2 linked regions of the Oryctolagus cuniculus genome follow. The protein of the gene in region 1 interacts with the protein of each later gene in a biochemical or structural test. Links are inferred from orthologs where the notes say so. Each region holds a gene or a part of one and is shown in the gene's direction. Other genes may lie near its edges.

Evidence for each region. The genes of interacting proteins can lie anywhere in the genome.
Region 2: the proteins of NHERF2 (region 1) and CFTR form a complex in vitro, tested with the Homo sapiens proteins (4 studies listed by BioGRID and IntAct, with this or other methods). The link is inferred for Oryctolagus cuniculus from reciprocal best matches to the Homo sapiens genes NHERF2 and CFTR.

What each region holds. Positions count from the first base shown.
Region 1 is NC_091450.1:33,196,696-33,201,077, reverse strand, and holds the start of NHERF2 (Na(+)/H(+) exchange regulatory cofactor NHE-RF2), read left to right. Parts: upstream 1-1,574; 5' UTR 1,575-1,624; coding exon 1,625-1,837; intron 1,838-3,524; coding exon 3,525-3,725; intron 3,726-4,382.
Region 2 is NC_091434.1:153,239,332-153,242,554, forward strand, and holds the end of CFTR (cystic fibrosis transmembrane conductance regulator), read left to right. Parts: intron 1-141; coding exon of another isoform or gene 142-270; exon of another isoform or gene 271-581; intron 582-591; coding exon 592-792; 3' UTR 793-2,679; downstream 2,680-3,223. UniProt on the Homo sapiens protein: Epithelial ion channel that plays an important role in the regulation of epithelial ion and water transport and fluid homeostasis. Mediates the transport of chloride ions across the cell membrane.

The sequences.
Region 1 (4,382 bases):
GGCAGGCCTGGCGGGCGGCTCAGAGGAGACAGCCGAGTGCAGGACCTTGGTTCCCACGGACGGGTCCAGTTTTCCCTCGCCCCCGCCTCTCTCTCTACCCCCTCCCCCTTCTCTCCAGGTTTGGGGAGCCCTCGGGAGGTTCCCCTAGGGCGCCTGCCTTGGAGGAAGGCCTGAGGGTTACTGCTGGGCGGCGGGCGGATTGCCCGGGGAGCGTCCCCTGGGGCAGGGCTCTAACACACACCCAGGCTCATTTCTAACTTCCCACCTAACACTTCCTCACCCCTCAAACAATGTGGCCACAAAGCTACAGCCTGGCAGGTACTGGGCGCTGCGGGGTGGGGGCACACAGTGGGCGCAGGGTCCAGGGTGCCAGCTGCAGCTGGACAGGCGGGTGGTCAGCCCAAGGCACCGACCCTCAAGACCTGCAGAGGTGAGGGTGGGGGCACCCACGATGCCACGAGCTCCTGGAGGTGGGCACCCAGGGGGCCACGGTGTGGGTGGGGGCTGGAGAGCCCAGGCCAAGAGAACTGGAGACGGGAGAGCAAGGGGTGAGGACTGGGGCCCACCTGGGAACTGTCTGGACTGCTGCGCCCCACCCCTGGGGCAGGCATGGGCAGGGGTCCCTGCTGGGCTGGGGCGGGGCAGGCCAGGCCGCCTCAGGCCTCAGCCGTGAAGGCTGCAGGCTTGGGCCGCACAGCCCTGGGCCTGGGGGAGGGGTGCTTCCCTCTGTGCCAGTAAAACTGCACCTGGAGAGGCCTGGCCAGGCAAAGTGCTGCTGGCGGTTGTCAGCCGCAGGGCAGGGGAGGCGTGGCAGAGGCAGGGGGCAGGTGCCAGAGACCTCGGCTCAGGTGTGCCGGTGCTGACCACAGAGTACAGAGGCCAAAGTCTCGGGGCAGGAGGCCAGCCCCCGACCGACCCTGCAGCCTGGGACTCCAGGGTCTGCCGGGGCCTGGGGTAGGCCTCAGCCAAGTGCGAGAATGGAGGGCCGACCTCTAGGGAGCCCACGGGCACACAAAGCCCACCCTGTCACTACGGCCTCCAGGGGCCTCCAGGCAGGTCGTGGGGCTCTGTGCAGGGCAGCCCTGGCTGCGGGAGGGTCCCGGGGGTGAGGGCAGTGGCTGGGGAGCAGGTGAACCGTGCGGGTGGGCAAAGGACCGCCCAGGGAGGGCAGGCAGGGCCTCACTCCGGGGCCTCCCTGGGGGTTCTGCCTGGGGCCACTGTCTCCCACCTGGCCCCCAGCTCAGGAGCCGGCTCTAGGCCCTGCACAGGAAGCCAGAAGCGCTGGCACCAACGTGCTGCCAGACACAGGGGTTCCCCGGCCCTGAAGCCTCCCCTCCAGAGCCCCTCGGGCAGCTGGGGCCGGGAGGCAGGGCCAGGCCAGCGCGTCGTGGACCCGGGGCGGGGGCGGCCGGGCGGCGGGGGCGGGGAAGGGGCGGGCGCGGGGGCGGTGCCCCAGCCCGAGCCGGAGCCCGAGCCGGAGCCCGAGCCCGAGCCCGAGGCGACTGGAGCCGAGCGAGCGCAACGCCGAGGCGGCCGCCCGTCCCCCGCGCCGCCCCCGCGCCCCGGCCTGCGGGCCCCGTAGCGCCGTGGCCAGCCCGCGGCCGGCCGGTGGTCAGCGGGCGCCATGGCCGCGCCGGAGCCGTTGCGGCCGCGCCTGTGCCGCCTGGTGCGTGGCGAGCAGGGCTACGGCTTCCACCTGCATGGCGAGAAGGGCCGCCGTGGGCAGTTCATCCGGCGCGTGGAGCCCGGCTCCCCCGCCGAGGCGGCCGCGCTGCGCGCGGGGGACCGCCTGGTCGAGGTGAACGGCGTCAACGTGGAAGGCGAGACGCACCACCAGGTGGGTGCCGCGCTGCGCCCCGGCCGGCTGGGCGCTGCCTGCGGGTGGCGGGCCCCGCACCTCCCCCGCGACGCTCAGCCCCGCACCGCAGCGCGGGGGAAGGCGTTCTGGCAGGGAGGGGCCGCACTGCGGCTCCAAGCCGGCCCTCGGCCCCCTCCCCCCGCCTGGCTCCAGCCTGTGTGTCGGTGAACCCGGGTGCTTCCTGAGCCTGTGGGACTGTGTGACCGCGCAAGGCCTCCGGGGTCCTGCCCGTGTGGGTGCCAGCAGCCAGGCCCCTGCGCGTCTGGGCGGTGTAGACCGGCCAGTGTGTCTGCAGCCGGGGTGCCTGGATCCGGTGCGAGTTGGCAGTCCCTGGTGGCACATTCCATAGCTGCTGCGACCCTCACCCTCCTCGGGGCGCTGTGGCCACTGCCCCCTGCTCCTGCAGCTGGAGAGGGTAGGGCCTCTTCCCTTGCAGGCTGTAACCCCTGGGATGTCCGTCTCCCGCTGGCCAGGGACTCACCTCAGATCCTGGCCAGAGTCCAGCCTCCCTCCGGACCGGCTGCTCCGGCTGCTCCGTGTCCCTCACAGCACCGCTGAGCCTGTGGCCTGTCTACGTGGCCAGTACTGGGCCTAGGGGTTAGCAGACAGCTGAGCCACTGGCCGGGCTTCCCGGGGTCCCCTAGCCTCTGTCTTCCAGCGAGACTGGAAGCTGGGTAGAGCGGTGCTGTGTGCTGAAGTGCAGTGGGGGTCAGGGCCACAGGTGGGGGAGGCAGGGCTGGCAGAGCTGGCACCCCGCCTCTGTGTGACAGCCATGGCCATCCTCGCTCCAGCTGCACCTGCTGTTCCGGGCCCCTGGGCACTTGTCTGAGAACTTCACACCCAGCCCCAGCCCCAGGAGGTGCGGCCGGGACTCTGCTTTACAAATATGGAAACTGAGGCTTGGAGCTTCAGTTTGGGTCACAAGTCGGGGAGCAGGGCCGGGCGAGGACGGGCCTGGCTCGCTCCCCCTGTTGCTTGACAGCATCTGGGGAGCTGGGCAGCAGGTGGGAGCCTTCTGCTCCGCTCTTCCACAGGCCGAGGGCCATAGTGGGCACTGCCCTCTCCCTGCTGGCACACGCTGGCACCCTGTGTGCTCCCAGACACACAGCGCCTGGAACGCCGCACCTGTGCCACGGGCAGACCTGCCCCTCTCCCCGCTGTCCTCCTTACCCGACCGTGTGCGGGGGCCTGAGCGGGAACCCAGCTCTCAGCTGTCCGCAGGCCCAGCAGGAGTGGGTCTGTGGTCTGCAGGCAGACGGTCTGTGTCTAGGGCAGGTTGAGATTCCCGTGAGAAAGTTGAAAGCAAGCGAACATGCACAGCCAAACTAACACCCGACAGCACCTCCCGCCTCCAACCTGGGCTGGAAGGCAGACTTGGAAACAGATGGTGCGCACACACGAGCGTGTGCACACGCACGGGCAGACCGAGCCCCTGAAGCTCATTCAGTGCCGTCTTGGTCACCTCCACCCTGGGCTGAGAGCAGCTCAGGGCTGGCTGTGTCAGGGAGCCGGGGGCGGGGGGCGGAGCCGGCGGGGCCAGCCGCCCACCCCTGGCAGCCTGGCTGCCTGTCTGCCTGCCAGCCCAGGCCATCCCGGAGTGGTGCCACCGTCCACGTGCTGCCCGGGCTGCCGGCCGCTGACCTGCCCCCGTCCCTGCCTGCCCCAGGTGGTGCAGAGGATCAAGGCTGTCGAAGGGGAGACCCGGCTGCTGGTAGTGGACAAGGAGACGGACGAGGAGCTGCGCCGGCGGCAGCTCACCTGCACCGAGGACATGGCCCAGCGAGGGCTCCCGCCCGCCCACGACCCCTGGGAGCCAAAGCCGGACTGGGCACGTGCAGGCAGCCTGAGCTCTGACGCTGGCCAGAAGGTACGGCAGCCTCTGCCCGTGCGGCCACCCTGGCCTCTTGACAAGTCTTCACCCCGCCCCGGCTGCCTTCTGGGTCCCTCTTCTCTCAGTCCGAGTTCCTAACTGGGGGTAGACAGGACAGCTCGGCCCCCTTCCCGGCTCGCTCTCTGTCCCTGCCCTTAGCCTGGCCCAGGGCGACGAGGCCCTTCCTGCCCGGTGGGCGGAGTCACCGGACCCTGGGAAGGAGCGAGCCTGGCCCCTCAGCAGCGTCTGCGTCTCTGTCTGTCTGTCTGGTCTGAGTGTAGGGTGAAGCCCTCGGAGAGAGCTGGCCCCAGAAGCTGCTGTGCGCAGCCTGGTTCAGGAAGCTTCTAGGGCGAGCCCACCCTTCCCCCAGTCTTCAGCAAAGACCCCCCAGCCGCAGGAGGGGTGGGGACCTGGAAGTAACCCTGCGGGGCAAGCATGTGAGCCCTGGGGAAGAGCCGTCTCCTACCTCTTTGGTTGACCACATCCCTTGGGGGGTTCCGCCTAGGGGTTCCCCAGATTCCGCTTTGAGAACCCCCGGCCTGGGGGCAGTGGAGGTATTGGGCCTAACGTGTGGGGTGGGCGGGGGCCTTCACGTGGACCTTTTTCCTTTCCCACCCTCTCCCACCACAGCTGGCTGCGCTGTGAGCTGGGCCC
Region 2 (3,223 bases), on another chromosome or scaffold:
AGGCCTAGTTATCTTACATCTGAGTTGCGGTTCTAATGTAGTAGTTGAGGGGCTTTGATTTCATTTTTCCAGTCATCATTTGGCTCTCAGGTTATTGCCTCTCTCAGTCATCTTCTCATTGTGTTTTCAAAACTGTCACAGGAGGAAGTTCTGAGGGTGATGTATCATGTCATTTCTCTTGGGATTTTGAGCCTACAGGTGGCAAAGGATAACAGGATGGTTATTATCATTATTATTACTGAGAGCTGGAAGAGACAAATTAGGGGGTAGACACACAACTTCTGTGCCTCCTGTGGGCAAGTTCAAGAAGTGATTGAAGTCCTCTCTCCTCTGGCCTTGGGTTTGCTCTACTTTAACGCAGGAAGGAAGCATAATAAAGTCAGGTACCTCCTGACCAATTTGGAATAATGAAGCTTCAGGTCCACTGTTGAAGAGATGCAGCTCTTTATGGTGTTGTGGACTCACACCATTTAAGGGAGCTCACATGAATCATTCCTCCTTGCAACTACCTCTGAGCCTGTGCCGGTTTCTGTCCCTACTCTGGCTTGACCTGTCTTCTGTGGGAGATCTCACTAATGGCCACTTCCCTAGGTCATAGAAGAGAACACAGTGCGGCAGTACGAATCCATCCAGAAATTGCTGAGTGAGAAGAGCCTCTTCCGGCAGGCCATCAGCTCCTCGGACAGGGCAAAGCTCTTCCCCCACAGGAACTCAAGCAAGCACAAGTCTCGGCCCCAGATCACTGCTCTGAAGGAGGAGGCAGAAGAAGAAGTGCAAGAAACAAGGCTCTAGAGAGCCAGTGCAAATGTTTGCATGGGACATTCCCTCATGGAGCTGGGGGAGAAACAGTTGCCTCTGCCTCAGAAAACAAGGAGAAATAATGTTTTGTTTTGTTTTGTTTTGTTTTTTAAGCAAACATTTTGGAACAAAGAGTTGAGGACATTCTTATGATCTGCATAGATGGCTTCCTGGCCATGGTCAAATCATGTGAGAGGTACTTCAAATCCTTGAAGATTAACCCCTGGGGTTTTTCTTTGCCCTTTGGTAGTAGTTGGAAAGGCAGCTATAAAATTCAGCCAGGTTAGATGTTCAGCTTACTGTTTAGTGAAAATTGTTCATTTGTCTTATTGAAGAACTGAAATCATGCTTCTTAGAGGAATGATTAAGTAATGGTAACTGGAAACTTGAGTGGTTCATATAAATTTATATCCCCCTTTCTCTCCTCTCTTCAAGATATTTAGAAACACAACTACAGTCATGCACTGCATGGTGATGTTTCTGTCAACAATGGACTATATCTACAATTGTGTAACACATAGCGTGGGTGTGCAGTAATAATCTAGGATGTTCATATAGCAACAAAATTATCTAATGACTTATTGCTCAAAATATGTCCCTGTCTTTAGGTGGCTCATGACGATACATTGTCCGCCAAGCATTCTGGCTCTCATTTCTAAGGAAGTGTTAGAATACTGTAAGAGTCAAAAAGCAGCACATCAATAAAAGCCCCGTTCCATTTAGCCTGGAAGTTAAGATGCAGGTGAAGATGGCTGCATCTCATATTGGACTTCAGTACTCAGCTCTGGTTCCCGAGTTTAGTTTCCTGTTAATGCAAACCCTGGGAGACAGAGGTGATGGCTCAAGTGATTGTGTTCCTGCCACCCACATGGGAGACCTGGATTGAGTTACAGGTTTCCAGTTTCAGCCCAGTCCAGTCTTAGCCACTGCAGGCATTTGGAGGAGTGTATAAGTGTCCCATTCAACATGTGGTTAGGAAAGAGAACTTCCGATTGTGCAGATTAGGGTTAGTACCATCCAGCTTTACCAAAAATCTAGCCAAGTCAGATAATCAGAATACACAGAGCAGCTCTCTTGATGCTGAAATTGACAGGACTTTCCCTTACCTCCAGGATGTAACAAGCTCATAAGACATAAGGACCAGAAGATGGCTGGAGAAGTGTGTTGTGCGAACTGTCACAGGGAAGCCCTTCTTCCCTGAGAAGCTCCCAGTAGAAAGTGCATGGGTAGATAGGCCATGGGTGCTATAGTGGACACAAGGAAACATGAGCATCTAGATCTAAATGGTGATGGTGGTGTGTTTTCAGGCTAACTATACATGCTTCATACTGTCTGCTCTGAAGGAGAGAGGGAATGGGAGACACCCCAAAGAAGAGCCAATCATGAATTAGTTTTATATGCTTTTTTATAATTCTGTGATGCAAATAAAATTTTCTCTAGGAAATATTTATTTTGATAATGTTTCAAACTCTTACATAACAATGCTGTGTTTTAAGAATGATCATATTATGAATTATATTTGTATGAAAGAATTTTATATTTGCAATGTTGACTTTTTATGCCTTTAGATATTTTTATGATATATTATGTCAAGTTTGGGTGAGAAGAACCTAGGGTAATATGGCCCAGGCCATGACTCACTTTTACTGTGTCAAGAGAAACATCAGGGCTGATGTTGCACACACCTATGTGGCTCTTGCCCAGAACTCAGGTTGTCTCTTAGATGTAGTTCTGAAGAAGATGGTACCATAAGTCCGACTGCTCCTACCAAGGACACACTGCCATTCCTACTTCAAGCTAACCCTGAAAAAGATCGCATTGTATTTATTACTGTAAGAAAATAACACATGTCAATAAATCCATACATTTGTGTGAAACTTAGCTGTTTCCAGATGTGTTCATTCATCCCACCACCTCAGTCTTTTACTCCAGTCTCTAGGCTTCATGGAACATAAAACAAAAATCTTTCTTTTGCACGTAGCCTTTTGATAATCTCAGATGAAATGAGACACAAATTTTAAAGTTATCCTTTTGAATTTGGTAAAACATACACAATAACATTTACCATTTTAAAATTCAGTTCGGTGGCATTTCATATATTCATGTTGCTGTGCAGCCATCAACATAATCCATTCATAGAACGTTTTTCATTTTGCAAAGCTGAAACTCCTTATGCATTAAACAGCAACTCCCCATTGCCTTCTACCCCCAATCCCTGGCAACTACTGTTCTAATTTTTGTCTCTACAAATTCAACTATTTTAAATACTTCATAGGAGTGGAATCCTGCAGTGTTTGTTCTTTTGTGATTATTCCACTCAGAATAATATTTTTAAAGGTTTGTCAGTGTTATAGCATGGATCAGAATTTTCTTCCTTTGTAAGGCTGGATAATAATCTCTGTGTGTATATATTACATTTTGCCAT